Linked DNA regions of Neurospora crassa OR74A. The protein of the gene in region 1 interacts with the protein of each later gene in a pairwise test. Links are inferred from orthologs where the notes say so. Each region holds a gene or a part of one and is shown on either strand. Other genes may lie near its edges. The genes, in order: NCU01257, NCU03380, NCU03669, NCU06088, NCU02640, NCU01612 and NCU07712.

The links.
Region 2: the proteins of NCU01257 (region 1) and NCU03380 interact in binary tests that used the Saccharomyces cerevisiae proteins (3 or more experiments, as listed by UniProt). The link is inferred for Neurospora crassa OR74A from reciprocal best matches to the Saccharomyces cerevisiae genes EBP2 and SPB4.
Region 3: the proteins of NCU01257 (region 1) and NCU03669 interact in binary tests that used the Saccharomyces cerevisiae proteins (3 or more experiments, as listed by UniProt). The link is inferred for Neurospora crassa OR74A from reciprocal best matches to the Saccharomyces cerevisiae genes EBP2 and SPB1.
Region 4: the proteins of NCU01257 (region 1) and NCU06088 interact in binary tests that used the Saccharomyces cerevisiae proteins (3 or more experiments, as listed by UniProt). The link is inferred for Neurospora crassa OR74A from reciprocal best matches to the Saccharomyces cerevisiae genes EBP2 and TMA16.
Region 5: the proteins of NCU01257 (region 1) and NCU02640 interact in binary tests that used the Saccharomyces cerevisiae proteins (3 or more experiments, as listed by UniProt). The link is inferred for Neurospora crassa OR74A from reciprocal best matches to the Saccharomyces cerevisiae genes EBP2 and CGR1.
Region 6: the proteins of NCU01257 (region 1) and NCU01612 interact in binary tests that used the Saccharomyces cerevisiae proteins (3 or more experiments, as listed by UniProt). The link is inferred for Neurospora crassa OR74A from reciprocal best matches to the Saccharomyces cerevisiae genes EBP2 and PRP43.
Region 7: the proteins of NCU01257 (region 1) and NCU07712 interact in binary tests that used the Saccharomyces cerevisiae proteins (3 or more experiments, as listed by UniProt). The link is inferred for Neurospora crassa OR74A from reciprocal best matches to the Saccharomyces cerevisiae genes EBP2 and DBP10.

What each region holds. Positions count from the first base shown.
Region 1 is NC_026505.1:3,393,320-3,397,039, reverse strand, and holds NCU01257 (hypothetical protein), read left to right. Parts: upstream 1-1,442; 5' UTR 1,443-1,498; coding exon 1,499-2,453; intron 2,454-2,580; coding exon 2,581-2,936; 3' UTR 2,937-3,220; downstream 3,221-3,720. UniProt on the Saccharomyces cerevisiae protein: Required for the processing of the 27S pre-rRNA. Probably involved in the step of the processing of the 27 SA precursor into the 27 SB intermediate.
Region 2 is NC_026502.1:904,126-908,080, forward strand, and holds NCU03380 (ATP-dependent rRNA helicase spb-4), read left to right. Parts: upstream 1-1,155; 5' UTR 1,156-1,232; coding exon 1,233-1,463; intron 1,464-1,527; coding exon 1,528-3,261; 3' UTR 3,262-3,572; downstream 3,573-3,955. UniProt on the Saccharomyces cerevisiae protein: ATP-binding RNA helicase involved in the biogenesis of 60S ribosomal subunits. Binds 90S pre-ribosomal particles and dissociates from pre-60S ribosomal particles after processing of 27SB pre-rRNA.
Region 3 is NC_026505.1:2,021,227-2,025,484, reverse strand, and holds the start of NCU03669 (AdoMet-dependent rRNA methyltransferase spb1), read right to left. Parts: upstream 2,801-4,258; 5' UTR 2,658-2,800; coding exon 2,490-2,657; intron 2,423-2,489; coding exon 646-2,422; intron 579-645; coding exon 108-578; intron 29-107; coding exon 1-28. Other genes in the region: NCU03668 (WD domain-containing protein), read left to right, coding at 3,851-4,258. UniProt on the Saccharomyces cerevisiae protein: Required for proper assembly of pre-ribosomal particles during the biogenesis of the 60S ribosomal subunit. Specifically methylates the guanosine in position 2922 of the 25S rRNA at the stage of 27S pre-rRNA maturation.
Region 4 is NC_026507.1:1,853,803-1,858,091, forward strand, and holds NCU06088 (hypothetical protein), read left to right. Parts: upstream 1-1,489; 5' UTR 1,490-1,637; coding exon 1,638-1,897; intron 1,898-1,956; coding exon 1,957-2,090; intron 2,091-2,149; coding exon 2,150-2,295; 3' UTR 2,296-3,861; downstream 3,862-4,289.
Region 5 is NC_026501.1:3,023,072-3,025,755, reverse strand, and holds NCU02640 (hypothetical protein), read right to left. Parts: upstream 1,472-2,684; 5' UTR 1,438-1,471; coding exon 1,353-1,437; intron 1,285-1,352; coding exon 1,139-1,284; intron 1,077-1,138; coding exon 936-1,076; 3' UTR 501-935; downstream 1-500. Other genes in the region: NCU02641 (hypothetical protein), read right to left, coding at 1-152; arg-1 (argininosuccinate synthase), read left to right, coding at 1,911-1,939, 2,045-2,058, 2,138-2,151, 2,216-2,242, 2,311-2,627. UniProt on the Saccharomyces cerevisiae protein: Involved in nucleolar integrity and required for processing of the pre-rRNA for the 60S ribosome subunit.
Region 6 is NC_026502.1:2,956,782-2,960,991, reverse strand, and holds the start of NCU01612 (pre-mRNA splicing factor ATP-dependent RNA helicase PRP43), read right to left. Parts: upstream 2,801-4,210; 5' UTR 2,577-2,800; coding exon 378-2,576; intron 312-377; coding exon 186-311; 3' UTR 1-185. Other genes in the region: pp-2 (protein arginine N-methyltransferase HSL7), read left to right, coding at 3,590-3,724, 3,808-4,210. UniProt on the Saccharomyces cerevisiae protein: Pre-mRNA processing factor involved in disassembly of spliceosomes after the release of mature mRNA.
Region 7 is NC_026504.1:2,109,937-2,113,994, forward strand, and holds the start of NCU07712 (ATP-dependent RNA helicase dbp-10), read left to right. Parts: upstream 1-1,258; 5' UTR 1,259-1,372; coding exon 1,373-1,685; intron 1,686-1,751; coding exon 1,752-4,058. Other genes in the region: NCU07713 (DnaJ domain-containing protein), read right to left, coding at 166-741, 825-938. UniProt on the Saccharomyces cerevisiae protein: ATP-binding RNA helicase involved in the biogenesis of 60S ribosomal subunits and is required for the normal formation of 25S and 5.8S rRNAs.

The DNA.
Region 1 (3,720 bases):
CTCTGCTTCATGGTGGACTCTGCACAATGGGAGCACCCACTGACAACATCCGGAGCGGTGAGGATCTTTCCTTGATGGGAATGGAAAAAACCTTTGTCAACCGGGGATATACATCCGCACACATCACACACACCATCCTTTCACATAAACGACTTTCGCTTCTTTTTGTTGGGGATAACTTCACACGGGACTACTTTTCGTCCACACGGAGCTTTCCCTCTTCAATTTTCGACACTCAGGCAACTCACCTTATCTTTCTGGACCCTTTCTCTCTTTTGTCGTTGATTCGACACCAAACACCCTTTGCGGACTGAGGACATCGCCGGCGGGAAACGATGCAGCAACTTCTCTTTGGTTCACACTCTTCGGCAAACGTCACCTGGGAGTCGGCGGACTCACACCTTCCAACCTCAACCTCTTCCATCTGCTGGGAGGGAGCTATTTCGCGACATGCTTCTCTCTTTTGTTGGGTGGGACTTGCACGGGCTTGGGTATGGCGCTTGGTTCACCACTCCTTTTTCTTTGCGCACTTTCTTGGAATTTTCTTGGATAGGACTGTAGAGGAGGGAAGTCTTCCTTTCTGTCTTGGCAGGGAGGGGGGACTCGCGGGATGAAATTTGTGGAGGGGGAGGACCATGTGGGGAGTTTTCACTGTATCTTTCTGATCTTGGTTTGCGGAGGGGAGGGATTGTGGGGGTGAGTTGGCTTGGTTGAAGGATTTGAAGAGTGTTAGTTCTTTTAATAAAAAAAAAACCCCGGTTGACACCATATCTTTGGATGCTCTCATGACCGTGACTACCTCTATGATTGTGAATTTCATTATCATCGTATGCCTCTTCGTAAGACTTTTCAGAGCAACTGACTTTAGTGATAAAGCTGTCAACTTGCAAATGGAACGCTTGATCGATCATCAAGGCAAGATACGCGGAGGAATGGCCTCGGCTCCGAGAAAATATACTACATCCCATTACATGTATCAGCTCGACGTCCCAGACATATTTCTGATCTGTTTCGGCCAGGTTAGGTTCGTGATGTTTGCGCGGGACAAGGCTCCTCCACTGAACGCGAAGTTTGATGTATCAGGAGACTCGTGTTGAATCACCTTGACACAGGCTGCGGGTAGCTTACGAGAAACTGGGCAGAGATACACAGGGCATGGTGATATACACTAGCAATCAATCTTGAGATCACCGAGAAAACGCAGTTCGGTGGGTGACCATCACCGTGACTACAGGCCCATTGTAACTCGTAACCTGAGGGTTGGGGTTTGATGTGCCAGATTCAGAGAGAGTGTGAAGGGCACTTCCAGGAGCTGGGCTGTGGATACCTCTATGCCGGGCGCCAAGCATCCACATTTGGGTCCGCCTCCGACCCACCAGGCTTATCTTATCGGGTAATGGCAGCCGCCATGTCAAAAAAAAGTTTCCAGAACTGCAAGCGCTGCCGCTTCTCGAGCTCATCATCCAAATCGATTGTACAGCAACCCCACATAATCACAATGCCGCGACAGTCCACCCGCACAAAAAAGCCGGCCACCAAGGCTCTTGAGGCTGAGAAGATCGAGAAGATTGTTGAAGAGAAGCCCCAGAAGGAGCAGAAGAAGCGTGGCAGAAAGCCCAAGCAGGTCGTCGAAGAAACCCCTGTAGAGGACAAGATGGATGTCGAGGAGGAGCAGAAGGCGGAAGAAACCACCACTCAGACCAAGGCCGACGAGAAACCAGAGCAACAGGAAGAGGCCGGTTCAGATTCTGAGGAGGGTAGTGACGACGAAGAGGACAACGATCTCGATCTTGATGCACTTGACGAATCCGATTCCGACTCAGAATTCGAGCGCGACCTGAACGAGAAGCAATCCGCCGCCGGCATCCAGGCAAACAAGTACCAGAAGGCCGCCGAGGAATCGAGCGACGAGGAGGAGGACGAGGATGAGATCGACATTGATGAGCTCGACGTCGACGGAGAAGAAGGAGAGGAAGTCAAGGCCATTTCGAGGGCGCGCCAGACAATAAACAACAAGCAAGGTCTCCTGACGGCGCTCAAGCGCTTCGCCCTCGACACAACCGACAAAGTCCCATTCGCCTTCCACCAGTCCATCGTTGCCAAGAAGGTGACGGAGGAGTCCATCCCCTCGATCGACGACGACCTGGCCCGCGAGCTGGCCTTCATGAACCAGGCGCTCGAGGCCGCCCGCGTCGGCCGCGCCCTCCTCCGCAAGGAGGGTGTCCCCTTCACCCGCCCTACCGACTACTTTGCCGAGACGCTGCGCAGCGACGAGACTATGGAGAAGGTCAAGGCCAAGCTTATCGAGGAGGCCACGGCCAAGAAGGCCTCGGCCGAGGCGCGCAAGCAGCGCGACCTCAAGAAGTTCGGCAAGCAGGTGCAGGTGGCCAAGCAACAGGAGCGTGCCAAGCAGAAGCGTGACACACTCGAAAAGATCAATCTTCTCAAGAAGAGTACGTGCCTCTCCTACCCTTCTCCTTCCCCTTCCCTTCTTAATTCCATAACAAGTTCTCTTCCTCTTCCTTCCCCTCCCCAACTTGATGATAACTGAAGCCAACTAACCTCCGCCTCCTTAAATAGAGCGCAAGGACGGCGGTGGCCCCACCGGCGCCAACGAAGCCGAAGACCTCTTTGACGTTGCCGTCGACAACGAGCTCAAGGGCGGCCCTGGCGGCAACAACAGCAAAAAGCGCGGCCGCGACGGCAAGGAGGGCGGCGGGCCCAACGCCAAGAGGCAACGGAAGGATGCCAAGTTTGGCTTCGGCGGCAAGAAGAAGTACGCCAAATCCAACGACGCCCTCTCGTCGGGCGACGTGAGCGGGTTCAGTGCGAGGAAGATGAAATCGGGCGGCCCAGCAGGCGGCAAGCCCAAGAAGTTCAAGCCTGCGCCTAGGCCTGGTAAGGCTAGGAGAAAGGCGGGGGCTGGAAAGAGGTGAAGTGAGTAAGCTTCACTGTGGCAGGAGCGAGAAGAAGCAGTGGAAGTGAAGAGCGGTGTCGATGCCATGATGGGTAATCTGTTTAGTTTCCAACCTAGTACAACAAAAGGTCAGCACGGCAGGTTGGTGACAAAGGTGGTAGTAGCGTGTATGAGTATACATCATCATGGGACCGGTCATACAACAAACATCATTGAAGGATTCAGATCAATTCAGTAGCCACTACCTTTACTTAGATACCTAAAGAGTTCTTTTCATGCCTTACAGTTTGATGGTGTTACCCGCTTGGCTCAAAGGTCCTTTTCTCATATCATTCATCTTGCAGAATGGCTATATCCGTTCACCCGAACAAACGGGTTCCTTACTTTCACCTTCATTCAAAGGCCCCCGATGTCGGCTCGTGAACAAAAACAAATCTCGGTCACTACAGTTTGTGAGAGTATCATCCTGTCACGGACGAGCCGCGCAAGGGCCATCGCTACTTTAAGACTAGGTACTTCAGATACACTAATACACGAGACATCCCCCTTTCACTCCTCGAACCCGCATGGTAAGGGGTTTGATGCGCAACACCATCGTAACGCCTGCTTGCTGCTATTCATCGAGACGAGCCTAAACCCAAACCCAGATTCAGACCCAAATAGACCTGGGAAGACCCATAACCACCAACGCCAGACATAGACCCGCCTTTCCTGAAGCTACAAGCAAATAGAAGAAAGAAACAACAACACAAAGAGCGGCTCATCCAATTCAACCCCACCGCTGTGTGGGATTAGGACGAAAA
Region 2 (3,955 bases), on another chromosome or scaffold:
AGGGTATCTTGACAGCAAGAGGAAAAAAAGATGTGCAAAGCAGGAAAAAAAAGAAACTGTACCCGTACTCGGTGGCTGAGGTGGCACGTTACCCTGGGCTGGACTTGGTTTAGGATCCAGTGATGACGATCATAGACGAATGACAGTGGTTCGGTGTTTGTGAAGAACAGAAATTTCGGCTGTTGCGGATGCCCGGCCATGAGTGCGAGTGGGAATCAGCCGGCGCGTGTCCTGCGTTGCGCTTCAGGTGGTTGCACCGGGCTCCCCAGCTCACTGCCCTGGTCCGTTACCCCAATTGCGGCAAGGCGTGATGACATTGGTGGGTGGTGGCCTTTCAAGAGCAGCAACAGCACACAGCGACGCGACCTTGCATGTGACAACAGGAAGTTGAGACTGAACTGAAGGAAGACGGTTGGGCGTGAATGCCGCCATTTTCAGTTCATGCCAGGCGTTGCTCGATATACCTATACCATAGTATATTGCCGTGCCTTGTTGAAAAGAGACTTTGTACTCTGCTCAACCGTTGACGTTCATCACCTTGGTCGATCTCGGTTGATGGGGATTTCTTTGTACACAATCTCCTCATCATGTAAAAGTGGTTCAAGCGTTCTTAGCATGTTTGCCTATCATGGACTTGAGCAGACGGCCAGTCGTCAAACAAGGTTGGATGAAGACGACGTAGACTTCAATTTTGGGAGCCACTGGAGCTTAGTCGAGCTGAATATTGACACCTTCAGTTGTAGCATTACACTACCTATACCATGTAAGCAAATAAGATCAAGCCTTTGTCAGGTTGCCGTGGCTGCGTGGGTTCTTCGATGAGACCCACATTCCAATATCTGATAATTGCACTAGTAACAACAGACGATCGTGAAGATCCGAAAGCTGTCTATTGATATTCACGATACAAAACGGCTTGAGCGCACATCTGGGATATAATTAGTATAAGTCGTGAGTTGTCCAACGAATTTCTGAAATCTAATGGGAAGATCTTTAGGTTTGGACCGATCAAATTGGATTCGAAAGAAGTGAAGGCTGCTGTGTACTGTATGCAACTTGCGAGGTTACGCTCACGCTAGCTTTATCGATAGGCAGATAAGATAAGGATTGTTTGGATGGTCGCCAGGCCAATTTTTGTTTCAACAGCATCGCACTGCTATCACCACGGGCAATACGCAGAGCTTCAGGGATCGATTACAACGCCCCGATACTCCGCCAACCACATAATTAACATGGCGCCTACCCAACCACAGACTAAGGTCCGGAAGCCTCCAAGGTCTTGGGACGCTCTCACGCCTCCTCTCGCCCAATGGATTCTTGACTACCTCTCCTCCATGGGCTTTACCCAGCCGACTCCCGTTCAAAAGTCATGCCTTGAGCTCTTCCGTGGAAATAAAGATGTTGTCGTCGAGGCCGTAACAGGCAGTGGAAAGACACTTGCCTTTTTGATTCCGGTAGTTGAGGTAAGCCGGATCTCTTGCTGTCTACCAGCTCAGGATGATCATATGCTAACCGATTCTGCAACAGAAACTCCTGCGCGGCGAAGAACCAGCCAAGCGAAACCATGTCCAAGGCATTATCATCTCGCCCACCCGCGAACTTGCAACCCAGATTTACAATGTCCTCGTTTCCCTCGTCAAGTTTCACGAACCCTCCGCTGAAGCCATTTCCCACGCCAAAAGCGACGAGAAGCGCCCAACAGCAACCCAGCCTGTCGTTGTCCCCCAACTACTTGTCGGAGGCACCACCAAGGCTGCTGAGGATCTCGGTACATTCCTTCGTCTTTCCCCGAATCTCCTAATTGGCACTCCCGGCCGTCTTGCCGAACTCTTGTCGAGCGCATACGTCAAGGCTCCCGCGTCTACATTTGAGGTTCTCATTATGGATGAGGCCGATCGCCTTCTCGATATGGGTTTCGCGAACGAGCTCAACCGCATTCTCGGATATCTTCCGAAGCAGCGCCGTACTGGTCTTTTCAGTGCTTCGCTCAGTGACGCCGTTGAAAGGCTGATTACAGTTGGTCTATTGTACCCACACAAGATCACCGTCAGAGTGAAGAGTCTGAAGGACGGTGGCATAATTCAAGAGAGGAAAACACCAATGTCTCTACAGATGAGCTACCTTGTTACCCCAGCCAGCCAGAAAATGCCAGCAATTGTCCAGCTCCTCGAAAAGCTCGAGCCCAGGCCCCAGCGATCCATCATCTTCTTCTCTTCATGCATGGCCGTCAAGTACTTCAGCCGCATTCTCGGCGCCGTCCTGCCCGCCGGTTTTTCCGTCACCTCCCTGCACGGCAAACTCGAACCTAAAGTCCGCGAAAAGAACTATGAGCGTTTCGTCAACACCACCTCGCCCATGGTCCTCCTCACCACCGATCTTGCCGCCCGCGGTCTTGATATCCCCCAAGTCGACCTCGTTATCCAGCACGACCCGCCCACGGACACCAAGGTTTTCATTCACCGCTGCGGTCGTGCCGGCCGTGCCGGTCGTCGGGGTCTCGCCGTCGTTCTGCTCCAGCCGGGTCGCGAGGAAGGCTACGTACAGCTTCTTGAAGTCCGTCAAACTCCCATCACGCCCCTGGAGAAGCCCGCCATTTCCGTCACCCCTGATGAAGTCGAGCGCGTCTCCGCCGCCTTCCGATCGCAAGCCCTCGCCGACCGCGAGATCTTCCAGATGGCCCAGCTCGCTTTCGTTTCCTGGACGCGCTCCTACATCGAACACCAAGCTTCTTCCATCTTCCGCATCGCCGACCTCGACTGGCTCGACCTAGCCAAGGGCTACGGCCTTCTCGAGCTGCCCAAGATGCCCGAAGTCCGCGAAGCCAAGATCGACCGCTCTCTGGGTCTGGGCATCAACACGGAAGAAATTCCTTTCAAGGACAAGGTGCGCGAGAAAAAGCGTCAGGAAGAGCTGGCCAAGTGGAAGGAGGAGAAGGCAAAGCGGGCACAGGAAGAGAATACGGGCGACAAGCGCAAGAAGAACGAGGCGTGGAGCGGCAAGGCGGAACAGGAGGAGACGAAACTGCAGAGGCGCGAGAAGAAGAGGAGAAAGAGGGAGGCCAAGAAATTCAGCGAGATGACGGAGAAAGAGAAGGAGGAGCATCTCAAGCTGGAGCAGATGATTGAGGAGGTGAGGAAACGGAACGAGGCCAAGGCGGCGGAGGAGAGGGCAGCTGCGCTTGCGGCGAACCCACCCAAGCCGAAGGCTCCGGTGAAGAAGGTGGACGATAGTGATGAAGAGTTTGGTGGGTTTGATGATTGAGTAGCTTCTTGGGTAATGGGAGTTGATGGTAATGGTTCATTTTCTAAGACGTAAAGGCGTATGAGGCGTATATACCCTTTTGATGAATTGGAATTTTGTTGGTTCTTGGCATGCTGTATCCATGAGTCCTCATGGTAATCATGATAATGGGTGTACTCGAAAAGTACAGCTGTTTTGCCTGAGACAATATCTATCATAACACCCAAATGGAGACACAGTATCGATATCACAAATGTTCTCGAAATTCGAGACATTGTGGTAACAAAGTGTTCGTATGAACAAACCAAACCAATGTATTCAGTCCACTACATCACACCTTCAGTATACTCTTGCTCGCATGCATGCGTCTTGATTTTATCTTCTAGGCAATCTTCAAACTCCTTCCTGAACCAAATAATCCCTAATAGACTCTGGACGGCGTGGTTCCAAGTCATAAGGAGGCATATCACAGCCTTGCAACGGCCTTCCTTCCCTAGTAGGATGGATAACGTTGAAGTGTCCATGTTCGGTTTTGTTCTCTCAACCACACGCCGGGTTAACATGATTAGAAGTGGGACAAGGTTTTGCAGTTAATTGAATCTTTATTGTCTGAGCTGTAAGGACCATCATGTTCAGAGAAAAACATGCATTGTACCGGAACCAAATTCGATGTTCTCATTCATCAGTATGCCTTTGACTGTGATTCAGGCGAAGA
Region 3 (4,258 bases), about 1.4 Mb from region 1:
GGATCCACCATCTTGTACCTGCCCTTGACTATAAAATTGAAAAAACCGAGTTAGCATCATTCCAACATAAAGAACACACCAGATCTTAAGGTAGTGATAGTACGAACCTCCTTTAGGTCTGCCCTGGAGACCCTTGTTGGAACCAGCAGCCTTGACAACCTTGATAGGCGCCCTCCTCGTCTTCTTAGCAACCGACGCCATGAGCTTCGAAATGCTAGCAGCCTTTTCCTTTTCTGACATGCCATCGTCACCGGCAAGCATATCGGCCTTCTTCTTGAGCTTCTCCAGCCTCTGGGCCTGCTTGAACTTCTTCCTGGCCTTGGCCTCGGCCACCTTCTTGATAGGACGGGCGTTGTAGGCCCGGAGCTTCTCCTTAATGGCCTGCGCTGCGGCCTTGGTGATGGGCTTGTGCGGCTTGTCGTGCTTGGACTCGTCGTCAAGGAACCAGTCGGGAAGACCGTCGCGGTCCTTGAAGGCGTGCTTGGTGTAACCGTCGTCGATGACGTCGTAACTTGTCTTCTCGCCGGTCGCGAGCTGGTGGGCGAGGGTCATGGCCTCGGCGGTGATGATGTCGATGTCTGTAGTTGTCATAGTCAGCCATTGCCCTTAACAGGTCATACTGAAGAGGGACTGAGTGAAACTTACCAGGCCTGCCGTTCTTCTTCTTCTTCTCAACGTTCTCCCAGTCGTCATCCTCGTTGTTCTTGACAACCTCGAAATCGTCGTCGTCATCGCTCTCCTCGGCCGCCTTCTTGCTCTTGGCCTTGGTTTCCTTGGCTTCCTTCTTCTCCTTCTTGGTAACCTTGAGGTCCTCCACAGCCTCAACAAGCTCAGCCTCCTGAGCCTCCTCCTCCTCAGATTCTGGCTCCTCCAAAAGTCCTGGTATCTCCGCAAAGATACCTTGACTGAAGAAGTTCTTGGCCCGCTTGGACAGACCATCCTTCTCTTCTGGCTGGCCGTCTAGATCTGTTATAAGTTTCTTGCCAGATTCACCATCCTCTGAGTCGGAATCATCATCACTGCTGTCCACTTCTAGTTCCTCATCGTCATCGTCGTCGCTACCCTTCTCCTCATCGCCAGATACGCCTTCCCATTCATCGTCGCCGTTCTCTTTCCTGGCCTTCTTGGCACGGTACTTGGCATCGGCCGCCGCCTTCCGCTCCCGGTACTGATCGTACAGGTTGTCGAGCTCTTCCTCCAGACGATCGGCCTCCTCGTCGCTCTCGTCGGTTTCGCCGTCGGAGCCAAAGTCGTAATCCTTCGGTTTCTCGGTCTCTTTGATAACGGCCATCTTGCCCTTGGCGATCTTATTCAGGGCAGCGTTCTGGTCGATAGTCTTGAGACGGAACATGGCACCCTCACCACGGGGACCTTCCTGCTCCACACCAATATCCATGGGCGCAGTCATGTTCATCTGCATGCGGACAATCTCCTTTTGCTTCTTCTCATTCTCGCGCCTCCTCTCGCGCTTCTTCTTGGAGGTCTCCTTCTCCTTGATCCTTTGCAGCTCCTCCTGGATCCTAAGCTCCTCATCCATGTTCTCCACTACCGCAACCTCCTCGTCCACAGCTGCCTTCTGGGTCTTCTTGGAGGGGAAGCCGAAGATCTCCCGTACTTTTAGACGCCATTTTAAGAGAAGCTTGAACTCTTTCCTGCCGAGCACTTTGAGATCGGCGCAGCAGAGACGGATTTCTTCGGTCGTTTCGGGGAGCTTGTCGAGGGCAGCCAATGCTACATCGCCGTTCTTGGGTTGCTCAAAGCTGAGTTTGTTGTACTGGCCGAGAATGGCGATGGGATCGACAGTGTTGATGAACTCGCTGGCAGAGATCTCCTTGAACTGGGTGTAGTCTCCCTCCTCATAACCCTCTCTCTTTCTCTTCTTGACTTCGGGGTTGTACACCTTGGCTTCGTTGTTGGGGGCGGGGCCGGCCACATCCTCGAAAACGGAGCGGGGGTCGAGAAGCTTGGGGTCAATGCGCTTGGGGGCCTTGAAGCCGCGGCAGACGACGAAGATTTCGGCGGAGACGTTACGGGACGAAGGGGGCTTCGTAGCCTCGACCTTGGCGAAAAGCTGGTTGCAAACCCAGAGAAGGGAGTTGTAGTCCTTGGATCTGAACACCTTGGTGACGAACGTACCGCCCTCAATAAGGAACTCGGTGGCCAGCTTTAGCGAGTGCAGGGCAAGTTCGGCCTGGTTGTACGAATCCTGGACCCAAGCAGTACCGACGTTGGGCGCACCATCGTGAAGAACGACGTCGGCCTTCCATGTCTTGAGATGGGAGCGGATGGTTGCGCGACACTTTTCGGTGGTGATATCGCTCTGGAAGGTAATGACCTTGGGGATGGGCTTGATGGGAGCAAGATCGACACCGATGATGATGGAGTTTGTCGGCATAGTCTCGGCGCAGACTTGACACCACGACTAGGGACGGACACAGACATGGTTAGTTCACTCCATGATAAACTGGATGTTCACGACTATGACTTACACCGGGCGCAGCGCAAAGATCGAGAGCGACCTTGCTTTTCTCGAGGAATCCATACTTCTTGTTGAGCTGGATCAGCTTGAAGGCGGCACGGGCACGATAACCCTTCTCCTTGGCAAGCTTGTACCACTTGTCAAGACGGCCCTTGCCGTGTTTCTTTTGGATCGCCATGGTGCCGGTGCTCTAAGTCGGGGGGTGTTTCCGACTGGTGTTGTTGAGCAGGACGACCTGGTGACTTTTTTGGGTTGGTGAAAATGGCAGTCCGGGTGCCCTTTGACTGTTCTTCCCTCCAGCACTCGCAGCGCAGGGATTGCAGGGTCGTCGTTGCAGAATGATTTTTTTGGATGACAGCTGCAGGGCGATAAGCGATAAGAGACTGGACTCCGGCGGCTGGTGGGGCAACGAGCAAGACGGGCCCCATCAGGGTGGGCCAGACATCCCGCGGTTGAAGTGCAGTGCATTGACCAATCTTCATGTCTTCAGCAACCGCGATTTATGGGACGAAAAAGCCATTAAGCTTTCGCGATGCAGCGCGTCATTTGTTCCCGCGTCTTCGCGTTCCCCTGATGGAGCACTAAACCGCATTCCTTCTAGGCGCCTCCCCCCCGACCCCCGGCCGCTACGGACCGCACGCCCAGCCTCTGCCCACTGGAGGAGGTGTTCAATGGAGTCCATGGGTGGTCAGGCCAGGTCAGGTCAGGTTTCCATGGCTGTCGATTTGGTTGCCCGGCAAACCTAGGTACTCAAGTGGGAACTCAGCAAAAGCGTAGGTACTTCTAGGAACTGAACCACGCAAGGGAAATCCACAACAGAAACGAACAACCAAATCCAATTCCATCACATCTCCACCTACGCATTCAATTTCAAGTCCATACTACCAAGGACACACTTACACCAGAAACCGACATAGACATACCCCTTCCGGCCGCACCACTTCACTCAGAGGACCCATACTACTACGACCAAATCCGCCAACCAATAAACTCGGCGCCAATACCTTACGCCCCCCCCGGCCGCCTACCTTGTCTCTCAACGACGACCTCGACCTCCCGTCCTTCTTCAAGCTCAGCCTGCTTGCTGCACACAGCCTAGCCTGCAACTTCGACGTCAGCCCTTGTCCAATATCCAGTCGACACTTGCCAGCAATACCTCTGCGCCAGCTGTTGCTCAACTGATTCTGTACAAATATCCATCACCACAGCCTGTTCTCTGTCTCCGCGTACCCTTGCCATCGGCGGCCCCTCGCTGCCAGGTCGCGCGCATCCAGCGTCGCCGGCCCCGTGTACATCGTCTCTAGGTATCGTGTTGCATAAGCGGCCTGGACCCAGCTCTTCGCTCTGGTAGTCGAAGAGAATCCTTTCGCCATGGCCGATAACTCCAACAGCACTTCAACCCCTTTGGGAGTTAAGAGCTCGTCGTCGTTGAACACCAGCAACAACATTCCCCCCATTCCGTCCTCTCCTCCTCCGCGAAGCGCAGCCAAGGAACGTCGAAACCCGTCCATCACCCCCCGGAAATTCAGGCGCTTCTTTACTCCCCGAGTCATAGCGAATAACCACCCCAGCGCTTCCCAAAGAGCTCTTCGTGATCTAGCCGGTCCTCTCATAGAACGATCTCATACTCCATCCAGTCCTCTCAGGCCCATCTCGGAAGAGGAAATCCCAGATGTGTTACCGAGCCTTCAGGATGGCCAGAGAAGCTCCAAGCGTCGAAAGATCACTCATGCTTCAACACCCAAGAGGGCTGAGGCATCGCACGTATCCCACCTACCC
Region 4 (4,289 bases), on another chromosome or scaffold:
GACAAGTTGAACAAAGGCTCACACGACTGACGAGGCCATGGAACTTGTGTTCCCTGTCGAGTGGTGGCAACTGCGGTGAGATATCGGGGGCCGAATAAGATAGGTGATGATGCGGAGGCTACGTATGTAAGAATTGGCGTGGTTCCTGCAGTCGAGGATGCGTGTATACTGTTTCCGTACTGTAGTAGTATGCTGTGCGTTGATGCGGGTGGTTGCAAACGATGTGCCAACCCACTGTTTTGTCGATGTTTTTGTCTTGTTTTGTTTTGGTTTGTTGTGGAGTGAGAGTAATGGACAGCCCAAGCGAGCGATGCCCTGGCGTCGTCCCGATACCACCTCTATGATTGAATGGTTGAAAGGCGTGCAGTTCTCACCAAGCCACTGGAGGATTGGCGAGTTTGGAGGCCGGAAATGCAACGACCTCGTTTCCTAGGTAGAGGTAGGTATGAGGCGAGGGAGGAAGGTGAGCTCGAGGGGGTTGCTGCACACCACGGAAGAGGAAAGGTGAAGTTGCCCTCAAGGGAAGTGTGAACTCAAGCCACTGGAAATCTCGGGCGGGGGACGACCTGCCTGCCTGACAACTGACAAGGGCTGCTGCGGTCCCGTCTCGATAGGTAGGCGATACCCGACCTCTACCTCTAGTCTAGGGCCGGTGAAGGGCAGGCAGGCACTGCAAAAATTGGTGGTGAAATGGCCGGGCAGGCACTTTTGCCGCAGTCCACCAGACCCCCAAAAACCAAAGGTTCCAGTTGCCAGTGCAAAGAATGGGAGAATGGAGCCGATCCACGCCTTCCCGCCCCCGTAAAACGACCCAAAATCGCCTGGGGTGGCAGGTTTCCAGAAAATGGAAGGGAAGCGCGTACCGCGTCGTTGCCCCCGCGACCAGACTGTGCCAGGCGACATGCCTGTCAATCGCTGATCCATCCGATCCATGCGGGGCATTCAGGGGCATCCAAGCAATGCCGGCTTTGTTTGTGCACAAAACAATGAGGTGGGGAGGCGTCGTCCACCTAGGGATTTACCCTCACTCTACAGTAGGTAATGTCTTGATGGTATGTATCCCATGTGCTTCTGATCACTCAAAAATCTGGAATTGGACTGTGTGAATGGCAACAATTCTACACACCATTTGATGAGACTTCAATGCAAGTCAATGGGGGTATTTCACCGTGTAAACATGTCACTTTCCAGATCAGAGAGACGGTTCCTACTGCGCGAGTATGTAGAGGTACCTCCGAGTAGGCTCGTTACACTATAATGGTAGCTCCTTACCTACTGGAGGTCCTAGTTGAACTAACAGCTCGACCACAGAGCTCGTCGCCAAGACATGGAACGCAGTGCTATTCTCCAATCAAACCCCATCCAAGCTGCAACCACTTAAACAGTTACCAGCCCTGACAGCGTCTAACGTTAGGTACCTGTACAAGTAAACCTTATCGGTAGGCTAAGTCTTGATACCCCACTGTCCCCAGTTCGCTGGCCGCTTATCGAAAAATTCCATCCCAACCGCCAAAGGGCAAGTCCCGTACGTGCAATTCACCTGTTGAAATACGTACCTTGGTCTTCACCAACCAACACAACAAGTACAACCATCTCATTCATCTCCCAAAATTACTGATCTACACCTACTCTTCATCATGCCCAAGACTCTCGAAAAAGCACGCAAGGCCATTGCGAAGAAGAGGGGCGGTGCCATTGAAGCCCTCCACGCCAAGAGTCGTGATTCCCGCCGTCTTCACAAGGCCCAGGTTCGCGATGATCGTCTCGAGAAGATGTCCGAGGCCAGGCGCAAGAGGGACCAGCCTTTGATCACCCGTATCGCCTTCTTCCAAGAGGCTACTCGTGAAAATGAGAACAAGCCGCTCGAGCTCTCCGCCATCCAAAAGAAAATTGCCGAGTGAGTGTGAACTGCGACTGTGCCAATATTGGTGGGACCATCTCTAACCATCCACCCAGATTCTGCCATCAACATGATGAGGAATATCACGAAATGAAAAGGGCTCGCCGTCAGGGCAGGCCGCCCAGCGCCAGGGAGGATCTTTTGAGGATGAAGATGGAGGCGCTTCACAAGGAAGAGCGTGATGGTTTCTGTAAGTCCTTTTCCCATTGTTTCTCTTCGTGGGACAGCTTGTCGCTGACCAATTTACAGACCTTCCCGACCTTACCAATGAAAAGACCACCGAGATGTTGGATCGGTGGGATGGCAACTGGGCCTTTCTCACCAACCTCACATGGGTCAAAATCCAGTCCTCAGGAAGATCCGCGCCTGCCAGCTTCCCTCCACAGACCAACTGAGAGCACATCGCCCCTTCTTTGTTTCTGACCTAAACACGGAGATATCCAGGATCAGCGAGGCAGCTGGGCCTCAACAAACATTAATGATACCCCTTTCCAGCCCTTCAGTTCCAGTCCCAGTTCCCCTTGAACGACAGCCGGCTACTCCACCCGTTTCCTCCGTTGCTTGTCACCCTGGTTAGATGCCATGCATCGTGCTGCAAAATAAGACAGCGTTTCACCTTTGCCAAACCGCCAACCTGCAGCCTTAAGTTTTGGCCGTGTCCACTAATGATACTGAAAGGCGGGCAAGACAGACATTTATTCATCCCTCACGAGCCTCATAAAATCAATCTGTCACAAGCCACTTTATCCTTCCTACCTGACCCTGGTCCCGCAACCCGTACCTTGCTTGCTTACTACACCTCAACAAAAGCGGCTGCTGCCGTGACCCCCGGGTTCGATTATCGCTGTGCATACAAATTGCAGTTCCACCTCGTCCAAGCACCAGGCACCAGGCACCAAACCGCTCTCGGGCCCGAACCGAATGAAAGAGGGCTGAAGGGAGAAGATTCGAGAAGGAGGTGGGTGGAGTGAGGGCAACGTGTTAAGGACGCCATTTCATGGCTGGGTCCAGTTACCGACAGCCTGTCCCAGCCGGCCAGTTCAAACTCCCCGTCAGCTCGGACAGTTCACCAGTTAAGGATAGAGAAGAGGGTTCATGGGAACCGGGAAAGAGAAAAGAAAACATGTTTCAGAGCAGCCGACGGCTGTGCCCTGGAAAGGCTTGCTTACAGGGCTGCAGGTCTCCTACCATAAGACCACGTGTGAGAGACATACCGGTAACAAAAAGAGAGAAGAGGTAGAAGTGTGGAAATTGAAGAGATGCATTGCTTCTGGAACCCGTCATGAGTCCTGCATATAGAAAGAAGGACAAAAAAAGCCCACTTTACACAAAATGTTTTACTACTCCCACAACGGCAACGCCCGATTCGACGATTACTTGCCTCCTTATCCCGGATCTTATTTTTAATCGTTTTCAAGGTGATCGACAGCAACCCGAGTCGTTCAAATGCTTCTTGATTCAACACCTTCGCTCGGGAGAAGCTGCCAGTTGATGTTGTACAACTTACGTGCTCCTCGTGGGCATAACGCAGCCGACAACGCCAAGGTAGACCCTATTTTCCCCTGATTCCTCAACTCCCCCCCTCCACACCCAAGTTGTTGCGGGCGGAAACAGTCAGACTCACCGATATGTACCTGAAAAGCAGGTAGCCGTGGGCGGTTTGGCCTTTTCCCCCCTCCTTGACTGTCCTTTGGCTGTCCTTCGCTGCCCCCTGGCTTTACCGGTATTCCATATGTCCTGCAAGTTGCCATGGACCGGGTTCGGGGCCGGTCTCTCCGGAGTTCGGAGAGTTCTGCCTAGGGTGCTCCTGGGAAATTTGCTGGACTCGGAGCGGCTTTGGTGTTCTGCTTCCCTATAGGGTGGGATATGATGGCAATGAGGGTCGAAATTTGATACTTGGCTGTGGTTTCAAGTTTACTTCCAAGATCAAAAACATTTGGGCATCTTCTTTGTTTTTTTTTTCTGGTCAATCTACCTGTCAACGTACTATTCTAGAGAACCCGCCTCATGTGTGCGTGTTGTTCCCCTTTGCCGACCAGTTAGTCGCCTCTCCATCTATCCGTCCATCTTTTGTCACCACTACTCGAATCTGTCGTTGACATTTCCCCTCATCTTGTCCCCCTTCTCTTTCTATCTATAGGGAGACATACAACCTAACACAACTTCTGTCCATTCATCTTCCCATGAACTTGATTCACCTAGCTAGCTATTGGTGTACCTTGGCGGTTCGGGCTGCCTGCGCGCTTGGGGTTCGTGCTTCCCCTCCTTTTCCTCGCCCCATCCTTCAGTCTTCTTTCTTCCATTCTCCGGCTAGCTACCTGCACATGTAGTAATCCACAAGGAGCGGGAAGATCGAGCCAGTCGATGGAAATACCGCGTAGATAAATTA
Region 5 (2,684 bases), on another chromosome or scaffold:
GTGATGGAGCGAGTGATTTGGTGTCGCTGACGATGTGGAGAGTGGGATCCTCCTTTGAGCCCTTCGACTCCATTCGGGGCGTTCGGAAACATGACGGCACTCGAGCGGCTTTCCTTTTCTTTATCGCGCTTTATCTGGTGATTCCGAGACATACCAAAGTGTAATGATGCGTAATAACGCCAGATTAGAGTACCTCTACGGGTAGGCAAAAAGTGGAGGTGTAAGCCAGGATGTACCTAAAGTCGACGGGGCCACTGACGTTGCGACGACTCACAGAGGTGCATCGCGGCGGGGACGCGGCGCAGGGGACCAATGGCACTCACTGCCCGGTGACGGGAAGCCGGCTGCCTTAACGATCCTTTCGCGGAACCTATCCAACCTGTGCAGGGGTTGCTTCACTGGACATGTGAACTGAAGCAAAATAACCACAACCAAAGTTTGTCACGAGAAGAGAATCACCTGGAAGATGGGTTTCAAGTGGCTGCAAAGCCACCAAGAATGGTAATGGTAAGCTTTTTGTTATGTTCCGTGTAAGAATTGCTTGGGGTATCAGAATATTGCTGTGGTCCCTTATCACCCGCAGTACCTAGTCATTGATGTACGCCTTTCTTTTTGGCGTTGTTTTTCCGGGTTGTTTCTCATCCATCCGCCCTGTCCGCTGAGTTCTTCCTGACAAACCACGGCCTTCCGTGGCTGCTGCGAACTTCCAACTCCAATTATGCCATGCCATTATAGACACTCATTCAAAATAAAGTAACGCCGCTACCATCATATTTGCCGAGGAAGACGCCGCGCTGCGAAGGGGGTTTGGCTTTCGTCTTTCGGGCATTGGTAGAACGGCGAGGCCGGTGATTCGGTTCGGTACCCATCGTTGGACGGAAAGGAGTGAGACGTGGTGTTCCGCATGTCCTGAGTGCCGTTCACAGCCTCCTCGTTCAAGAGTTGATAAGCTTGTTGCGCTTCTCCTTGCGCTTGAGCCTCTCCACCCTCTTCTTGTGCATCTTCTCGGCCATCTTCTCGTAACGTTCCTTCTCCTCCTTCTTTGCCCGCTTCTCCTTGAGGGCTTCGATGCGTCTCTGTGTGGAAATGATGGATCAGCCCCTGGCATCTTGTCTCCCGGATTCGTATTTGCACCAACCTTGCGCTCAGCCTCCTTCTCATCCTTAAGCTCCTTCTCCTTAGCCTTGACAGCCGCAAGCAACTGCCTCTCCTTTGCGCGTTTCTCATACGATGTCAACCCGGAGCCGGGACGGAAGGCCTTTTTGGGGGCGTGCCATTGCTTTCCTGTAGGATAATGGCAATTAGTACTTCATTCGACCTAGGATGGCAGAACGTAACGGACAAAGACTTACCATTGACCCTCATGCCAAGGGGCTTGGAAACCGCCTTGGTCTCCACCTGAGACGTTGTTTGTGTTGTTGTGGTAGTAGAGGACATTGTTGCGAATCGTTAAAGTCGACCAGCAATCCGTGCATTAGCTGGGTTTGATGCAGAGCGTTGTGACGGCGATGCCAGACGCAGAACTACCAAAGGCGGTCAGTGAATGCGGTCGCACTCGAGCAGAAAAATTTGGACGGCAGAATTGGTTATCGGGCCTGTCGTTGCAACGTTATCGCTGAGCGGGTCGTAGTATGGAGAACAGGCGTTAAAACTGCGGGGCGGACCCTCGTCACCCTTGCTTCCGGCATCGATGTGCCTGGTCTCATGTTGATGGTGACTGACGTTGGATCCCAGGGTCTGCCCCGCAGTGATAAGATAAAGTGACTCAGTCGACTGTTTGACGCTGTGGGAGACACTAATAAAAAGCCTCGAGTTGCCGCCCGATATCGCCTTTGTCTTTCTTACAAGATCAAGTTCAGGAACTGTAACTGTCGAGAGTAGCCATCCTCCGCAAGCACCAATCCGCCAAAATGTCTGAGTCCAAGGGCCGCGTCTGTCTGTAAGTAACACCCAGAGCAGTGTTGAATAACGTCTGGTGATTCCACTTGTGGCACAGGCTATTCTGGAGCTTTGACGCCTGACTGACAGTCCCTCCCGTTCATAGCGCCTATTCCGGAGGTACGATCCTGGAGCTATACAACACAAGAGATCCGCCTGCCACGAATGCAATTGCTCACCAATTGATCACCGTATACAGGTCTTGATACTTCCGTGAGTCCTCCTGAAGCTTCCCTCTGATCTTATAGAGCGCATTGACTGACATCTGTGACTGCAGACCATCCTCTGCTGGTTGATTGAGCAGGTAGAGAAAACCAACCAACCCCCGCGCTCCCCTCCCGAGCTGTAATATTAACCCGAGTGACTCGACAGGGCTACACCGTCGTCTGCTTCCTCGCCAATGTCGGCCAGGAGGAGAACTGGGATGAGGTCCGCGCCAAGGCCAAGAAGCTCGGTGCTGAGGAGATGGTGATCCTCGACCTCCAGCAGGAGTTCGTTGACCAGATCGTCTTCCGTGCCATCCAGTGCAATGCCATCTATGAGGACCGCTACCTCCTCGGCACCTCCCTCGCCCGCCCCATCATTGCCCGTGCCCAGGTCCGCGTTGCCGAGCAATACAACTGCGAGTTCGTCTCCCACGGCTGCACTGGCAAGGGCAACGACCAGGTCCGCTTCGAGCTTGCCTTCAAGTATGCTGATTCCCTCCTCTTGAGCCTCATCCGACGCACAAACACTGACGTGACACC
Region 6 (4,210 bases), on another chromosome or scaffold:
TTGCTGTTCCCGGCGGAAGAGGTCGCACCGGTGCGGGCGATGTTCTCCGTAACGTGTACGAGCGGCGGGCGACTCGGCTTCTCTTTCTCGGTATCCTTGGTCTCTTCACAACGACCACTACCATCAGCTACCACAGCAGCAGCGGAAGAAGACTTGTTCTTTCTCTTCCTGTCTCTACAACGCCACTAACGCGCGCTGCCGCTGCCCTTGATGGCTTGCCTCCGCTTGACCTTGTCGGTGATACGAGTGAGCGCCGACTTTATCTCGCCCTTCTCAAAGGTATCGAGGTCGTAGTAGACGGGGGCAATTTCCTGGTTTACATAGGTCAGTTTCAAGATGCCATTGACAAAGGGAATTCATAAAAGGGGAATACGTACAAGAAGCCACTCAGGACGAATGTTGGTCACTGTCCTGACGTACTGCTTGGTTGTGAGAACGAACTCGTTATAGACGACCCAGTCGTATGGGCTCGTCACCGACGTACTCGGGTGGATCATGACGAGCTGGTCGTCCTTGACCGTCTTGTACACCTTGCTGTTGCTGCTCTCGCGCATGGCCACCTGCATGAAGAAGCCAGCCAGGAGCGCGCGGCGGATGTTGGTGTAGTAGTTCTTGTCCTGGAACGGCGTGCTGACCAGGCTAATGTCGTGCGTCTCCATAATACGCTTGAGCTGAGCCCGGACGTTATCGGCGCTCGACAGGTGACGGTATGAGAGGAAGTGCTCGTGGCACCAGCGCTTCATGTCGTCGCCATTGGTCTCGGCACCCTTGAAGGCGTGGTAGGCGTTCAGCAGCGTCAGGTGGTCGCCGTCGGGGTGGGCGAACTGCATCTTCATCTCGTCGGCCCGCTTACGCGCGTTGTTGGGGCGTACCCATATCGAAGGGACGGAGAGGAGGGACACAATGGAAAGGATCTCGTTGGAGCAGTAGAACTCGGGCGACGAAATAAGCATGACGGCGAGGGCGGGGTCAAGCGGGAACTCGGAAGCCAAACCACCGAGACGCGTAAGCTCACCATCGTCATCTAAGCAGGCGAGGTAGTTAAGCTCCTCCAGGGCGCGCATCATGGTCTCGGGCGCAGGAGGGTCCATGAGATCAAAGTGTACCAAATCCTCAACACCAAGCTTCTTCAACTCCAGAACAGTGTTGGCCAGGTTGGATCGGAGAATTTCAGGATAGGTTTGCTCAATAAGTTCCTTCTTGAAAGCCTTCTCGGTGTAAAGACGGAAGCATTTACCGGGCCGTGTACGACCAGCACGACCAGCTCTTTGCTGAGCAGAGGCCTTCGAGATAGGAGAAACCAACAAAGACTCAACACGAGAGCGGGGGTTGTAAATCTTTTGCTTGCTGAAACCGGGGTCGACGACGTAGACGATACCATCGATTGTCAAGGACGTCTCGGCAATATTGGTCGAGACAATGACCTTGCGACCAGGCCTGCCACCCTTGCGCAGGGGCTCGGGGGCCTTTTCGAAAATGCGCTGTTGGTGCGCAGGAGGGAGAGTGCCGTAAAGAGGGTAAACCTTCATGGGGCCAGCATCCGACTCGCGAATCATGTCGTCCACCTCCAAGCTGATTCTTCGGCAAGCATCCTCAATCTCCTCCTCACCAGTAAGGAACAGCAAGATGTCTCCCTCGGGTTCAGTGGCGTGGATCTGGAGGACGGTCCGTACGGCGGCCTCGAGGTAGTCACGCTCGGGCTCGGGGGTATAGAAGATCTCGACGGGATGGGTACGACCGGGGACGGCGAGCAATGGGGCGTTGTAGAAGTAGGACTGGAACTTTTGGGCATCGAGCGTGGCAGACATGACAATGATCTTGAGGTCTGACCTGCGGGCGGCGATCTGCTTGAGCAGGGCCATGAGGATATCGGTCGCGAGGGTACGTTCGTGGGCTTCATCGAGAATGATGCAGCTGTAGCGGGACATGTCGTGGTCGTGCATGGACTCGCGCAGGAGCTGACCATCCGTCATGTACTTGAGCATGGTCTTGGGGCCGGTCCGGTTCTCGAAACGAATGCTGTAACCGACTTCCTGGCCCAGTTCGACATCCAACTCGTTCGCGACACGCTGGGCAACCGACATGGCCGCCACCCTTCGGGGCTGGGTACAGGCGATGAGCTTGCCGTTCGTGTGGGGGAGCTCGTCGTAGAGGACGTATTGGGGGATCTGGGTGGTCTTTCCGGAACCCGTCTCACCGACGAAGACGAGGATCTGGGTGTTGTGGTACATGTCGAGGAACTCCTGGCGCTGCTTGTGGACGGGGAGGTCGCGCCTCACTTTGAGGATGTCGAAGTATCTCTGCGAGTGCGGCTGGCCGGTCCACGGGTTGAGCTCCGAGTCCTCGGCCTGGGCGGCCTGGGCGGCGGTGGTCTTGTGCCTCTCGAAGGCGTCGAGGGGCGATTCGAAGTCGCCATTGGTGCCGTTGCCGTTGCCGTCCTCGTTGAGATGGGCGAGGTAGGGGTTGTACTTTTCGGGGGCAGCATCGCCATTCTCGGCACGCTTGATGCGCTTTGAGTCCTGGTCGTTGCCGTCCATGTTGGATCTCTTGACGCCTTTGTCGTCGTGGCTGGCCATTGTGGTACCGACCGAGGGCAGCTGGCCTTTTTTTTATATCTTGTTTCTTCGAGCGAGAGGGGTGGGTACTAGGAAACAAAACAAGAAGACCGAACTGAAGGGGAAGAAGAGAAGCGGCGATAGGCAAAACAGAAGGCGGAGTGTCGATTATGGCACCTCCAGTGGCAGTGATGAACAACAGCGAAACAGAGTGGAGGGGAGGGCAGTGGGCAGGCATGCGAGGCTACAACTTTTTTTTTGTTTGATGTCAGGGCGATAGGTCAGACCTGGCCGGCAGTTCCTGGCCGCAGCGACTCTCGACCAATGAGGGGTCACAGTGATAAGCTTCAGTGGAGTAAGGAGTGTCTTTGGCAAGCGCTGATAAGCAAATCACTGTAGCATTGGACAGGACCCTGATGGGCACTAAGACGGTAATTTTCTACACTGTTCTGTAACTGTCAGGTTCACTCAGTTTGTTCCTGCTGCACGTGAAGAAGAAAAAAAAAAGAAAGAAAAAAAGAGGCAAAATGCAGGCAGGTTGATGAAGTTTGTGACATTGTGACATTGTGACATTGTGACTTTTGGCGCATTGGGTTTGTGTGCAATCTTTCTTTCACTCAGCTATTTCATTTTCCATGTACCTATCCATCTATACCCCTCCATACCTGTTTATTTCGAGTTGGTGACCGTTGAGGTTGGACTTTTTCCTCTGGTGCTTCTTCCCTGGAAATATCCACTGCCATGGGGTCAGTCCGTTTTGGGAAAAATAAAAAAAAAGTACCATCCAACTTTGATTTCAGTCTTTACAATTTTCCCTGTGATTGGGTCCGATACCTCATCAAAGTACAGCCTATACATTCTTCTACTGTATACAGGCCCCAGAGACTAGTATAGCTACCTTCTCCGTACCCCTCCCGCTGCTGTTCGTACCACCTCAAACCTAACCTGGACCATCGCGGGGTTATTTACTTCTAGTCTCGTCCACTCTCTTTCACTCACTCGGATTCACATAAAAGTCCAGTCACTCACTCATCATGTCTTCAAATCGCGGGTTTAACCCCGAGTCCGAGTCTTTCGAGCAACGGCCGCCCTTTTACATTGGCCAGCATGATGTCCAACGACATGAGTCGCCCACTGACAATCAGTACGGCCAGATCTTGGACAGTGGTGTAAGTCTTTCCTTACATTAAAGTAGGAAGAGAAAGAAGAACGAGCAACAGCATAAATTCTAACACACATGAGATGAGAATAGTTCAACTTTGTCACCACCCCCATCACCAACGAGCACTTTCACCAGCGCGTGATCGACTTGTACAAGAGCCATCTCCAAGAACGGGAACAGTGGGTCACCGAACGGGGACTCACTGACGCCCAAAAGGCCAACCCGTCGCTGCCACTTCCTACGGTTCCTACCTTGACTGACGACGATACATCCCTGTTTCCCAGCAGCTATGTTGGCTCGCTCATCGCCTATGCCAGCCCATGGATCGACCTCTGCTCTGCCGATCCCATCATCTCAGACATCTCCCGTCAGGTGCTGAACCTCGAGCTCGCCTACGCCAACTTCTGCGGCTCCAGGACCATCATTATCCCCGGCCCAAGACAGGACGATGGCCGTGCCGTTGCTCAGTATGCACGTGCCATTCAGGAGGCTC
Region 7 (4,058 bases), on another chromosome or scaffold:
AGCTTTGCGTGTAAACACCCCCATTCCTCTAAACCCAAGAAAAATGGCTTCCTTCGATTCGTTGTAAGCTCCGCTACTGCATCGTTGATGAACACATCTTGCAATTGCCGTAGTTGAATATTGCTGCGCATGCTCATATGAAAGAGCATTGCAGGTTCTTCTTGCTCAGCCAATAGGCTTCAACTTCTTTTTCTTTTTCTTATCCGAATCCCCAGACTTGCCCTTTTGAAACGCGCGCCAACTATCGATGCGCTGGTCTCTCGTCTTTTCCCAGTCCTCTTCGTGCTGCCTCTTGCGCTTGCGCTGCTCAGCCTCCTCGTCAGCTTTCCGCTGCTCGCGGCCTTCCTCCTGCATCTGCGCCTTGAGCTGTCTGCGTCGTCGCTGCTCGTTCTCGATCAGCACAAACTTGGTCTTTTCCTGCCACTTCTTTTCAAACTCGGCCGTCTTGAGCTCAGGGCTGTCGACCGTCCATTTGTTCTCGCGGATCAGCAGCATGCGCGCGTCCGCGATAGCTTCGTCTAGGTTCTTGCGGTGCTTCTCCTCCATTAGCTCCGTTTGCGCCTTCTTCAGTCTATCGAACGCCTCAGGCGCCAAGGGGTTTTTGGTCTTGTCGGGATGGATCAGCAGGGACTTTTTGCGGTAAGCAATCTTGATGTCGGATTCGGTCACGCCGGGCTTGAGGCCGAGGACTGAGTAGGCGTCGAGCCGGAAGGCTTTCAAGATACGGTCGATCTCGGCATCCTGTCGGAATTTAGATTGTCAGCAACTACTGAGTTGGGGATGTAAATGTTGGTATAGTTGGGCGTGGTTGTTGTCTGGCTTGCCTTCTCCCACTCCTTGGCTTCAGATTCCAGCACTTCAAGCGCATCCCGAGTGTCGGCAGGAGTTTCGTCTTTGACGTCTTTAACGTCCTTCACGTCCTTAGTGTCTGTCGCCATATTGTCGCCGGAATGGAGGGTCAATCTGGATGCTTGTTTGATCAATTACAAAGGGTTGATGGATAAGTAAGTTCGGTCTACCAAACGGAACGCAACTCCGGGGAAGTTTAGGGAAGTTCAGTAGTTGCGACTTGCGACACCTCCAGGAGCGCGGAAAGCACAGCTAACGCACGCCAGCGCTGCCAAGGCAAACCCACGGGCATGCAATGGGTGTACTTGATAAGCTGATAATGGATAAATGTCACATTGGCCCCACTAAAAAGTCGACCATCCAAAATTTACGGGTGACGGGCAGGCATTGATGGCTACAGTAGACAAGAGACCCCAAGACCCCATCATCATCACCAACCTAAACTCCAACCCACCCCGTCCGTCTTTGCATCTTCAATTAGCGATTCGTGCTGCAATTGGCAGCAACACAACCCTCGCTCACCATGCCTAGACGCGCAGCGTCCCCCACACCGTCCGAGAACGAGGTTGACATCGCGGGTGCTTTGTTCAACAACGACAGCGACTTCGAAGACAACAGCAGCAAGCACCACACCAAGAAGGGAGCTGTTACGAACAGCGGGCTTGACCTCGATTTCAACGATCTTCTCGGTAACGGCGATGATGGACTACCTAGCTTTAATGGCGAGGGCGATGATGACGAAGCCTTTATCGCTTCGCTCACACGGAGCTCGCAGAGAAAGTCCTCCAACATTCAGGGCAAATCAGTCAAGAAGGGTGGAGGTTTCCAGGCAATGGGTGCGTAGTCTTCCGTCCCATGGCATAAGTTGATGATGCTTGGGGCAGCTGCTGATACTCTCCTAGGTCTAAACGCCCATCTCCTCCGAGCGATTACCAGAAAAGGCTTCTCCGTCCCGACCCCCATTCAGCGCAAAGCGATCCCCCTGATTTTAGAAAGAAAAGATGTGGTCGGCATGGCCAGAACCGGTTCCGGAAAGACTGCAGCTTTCGTTATCCCCATGATTGAGAGGTTGAAGGGGCACAGTCCACGTGTTGGCTCGAGGGCGCTCATCATGTCTCCCTCGCGTGAACTTGCGTTGCAGACCCTCAAGGTCGTCAAGGAACTCGGCAGAGGTACCGATCTAAAGACCGTATTGCTCGTCGGTGGTGACAGCCTAGAAGAACAGTTTGGTATGATGGCGTCGAATCCCGATATTATCATCGCCACACCCGGTCGTTTCCTCCATCTCAAGGTTGAAATGAACCTCTCTTTGGCCTCCATCAAATACGTTGTCTTCGATGAAGCTGATCGCCTCTTCGAAATGGGTTTCGCTACTGAGTTGACCGAAATTCTTCACGCCCTCCCTCCTTCCAGACAGACGCTTCTTTTCTCTGCGACGCTCCCATCGTCCTTGGTCGAATTCGCCAGAGCCGGTCTTCAAGAGCCAAGCCTTGTCAGGTTGGATGCCGAAACCAAGGTGTCACCCGACCTCGAGAGTGCTTTCTTCGCAGTAAAGGGAGGTGAGAAGGAGGGTGCCCTTCTCCATCTTCTCCACGACGTCATCAAGGTCCCGCTGGGTCCGCCCGAGGGCACAAAGGAAGAGAGTGACGAATTGCAGGCGAGGAAAAGGAAACGCGAGTACAGGCCCAATCCTAAGGAGAAGCCGACGGAATACTCGACCATCATCTTCACAGCAACGAAACATCACGTCGAGTACATTGCGAACCTGTTGAAACTCGCAGGCTTTGCCGTGTCCTACGTTTACGGTTCGCTTGACCAGACGGCCCGTTTGATCCAAGTTGACAACTTCCGTCGGGGAAGAACACATATTCTCGTGGTTACCGATGTCGCCGCCCGTGGTATTGATATGCCTGCTCTCGCCAACGTCATCAACTACGATTTCCCATCTCAGCCCAAGATCTTTGTCCATCGTGTTGGTCGTACAGCTCGTGCGGGTCAGCGTGGTTGGGCCTATGGTTTGGTCCGTCAGTCAGACGTACCATATCTACTTGATCTACAGCTCTTCCTGGGAAGGAAACTTATTATCGGCCACGATCAGAAGAACCCTTCCTTCGCGGCAGACGTCGTAGTTGGAACACTAAAGAGAGATGGAGTGGATGTTAACATTGAGTGGGTTGAGAAGGCGCTCAAGGAGAGTGCCGATCTCAAGGCGCTGAAGGGTGTTGCCGCAAAGGCCGAGAAGCTCTACATGAAGACGAGGAATTCTGCGTCGAGCCAGAGCGCAAAGAGAGCCCGCGAAGTTACGCAGTCCAGGGGCTGGACACAGCTCCATCCTTTGTTTGGAGAAGAAGCCGCTGAAGCCCAGGCAGCTCGCGATGATCTTCTCAGCAGGATAAACCGCTTCAAGCCCCAGGAAACCATCTTTGAACTTGGCCCTAAGGGCAAGTCTAGCCGCAATAAGGCCGCGGAAGTTGTACGAAACATGCGTTCCAGATTCAAGGAGCGCAAGACTACCAACGACGAGGATGATGAGGACGTGGACATGGAAGATGCCGAGGGTAAACCTGACGGCGAGGAGACCAATGCGTTCGAAGACTTTGAGGATGAGGAAGAGGAGGGAGAGGCGGAAGAGGCAGAAGAGGCGGAAGCCAAGGAAGACCCATACGCCGACGACTCGGATTCGGAGATGGAGGTTACAGTATCCAGCAGCATGCATACGAAGAAGAAGGGTGGCCCGGTCAACTTCCAAGACCCCGAGATCTTCATGTCCTACACGCCTCGCACCACTAGCCTTGCGGAGGAGAAGGCTTACGGTGTTCACTCGGGCGGCTACAGCGGCAACAGCTTCGTCGAGGCCGCTCGCGACGCTACCATGGACCTGACCAACGACGAGAGTGCCAAGAACTTCGGTCTGCCCACGAAATCCAAGATGCGTTGGGACAAGCGTCACAGCAAGTACGTGGCGGTCGCCAACGATGAGGACGGCTCCAAGGGCGCCAAGATGATTCGTGGCGAGTCCGGTGTCAAGATTGCCGCCTCGTTCAAGAGCGGCCGCTTCGACCGGTGGCGCAAGGATAACCGTCTCGGCAAGTTGCCCACGATTGGCGAGACGGAGAAGTCGCAGCTCATCCGCAACTTCGGAGCCCAACCTGGCCAACCGCGGTACAAGCACAAGATGGAGAAGGCGCCCAAGGATGCGGACAAGTTCA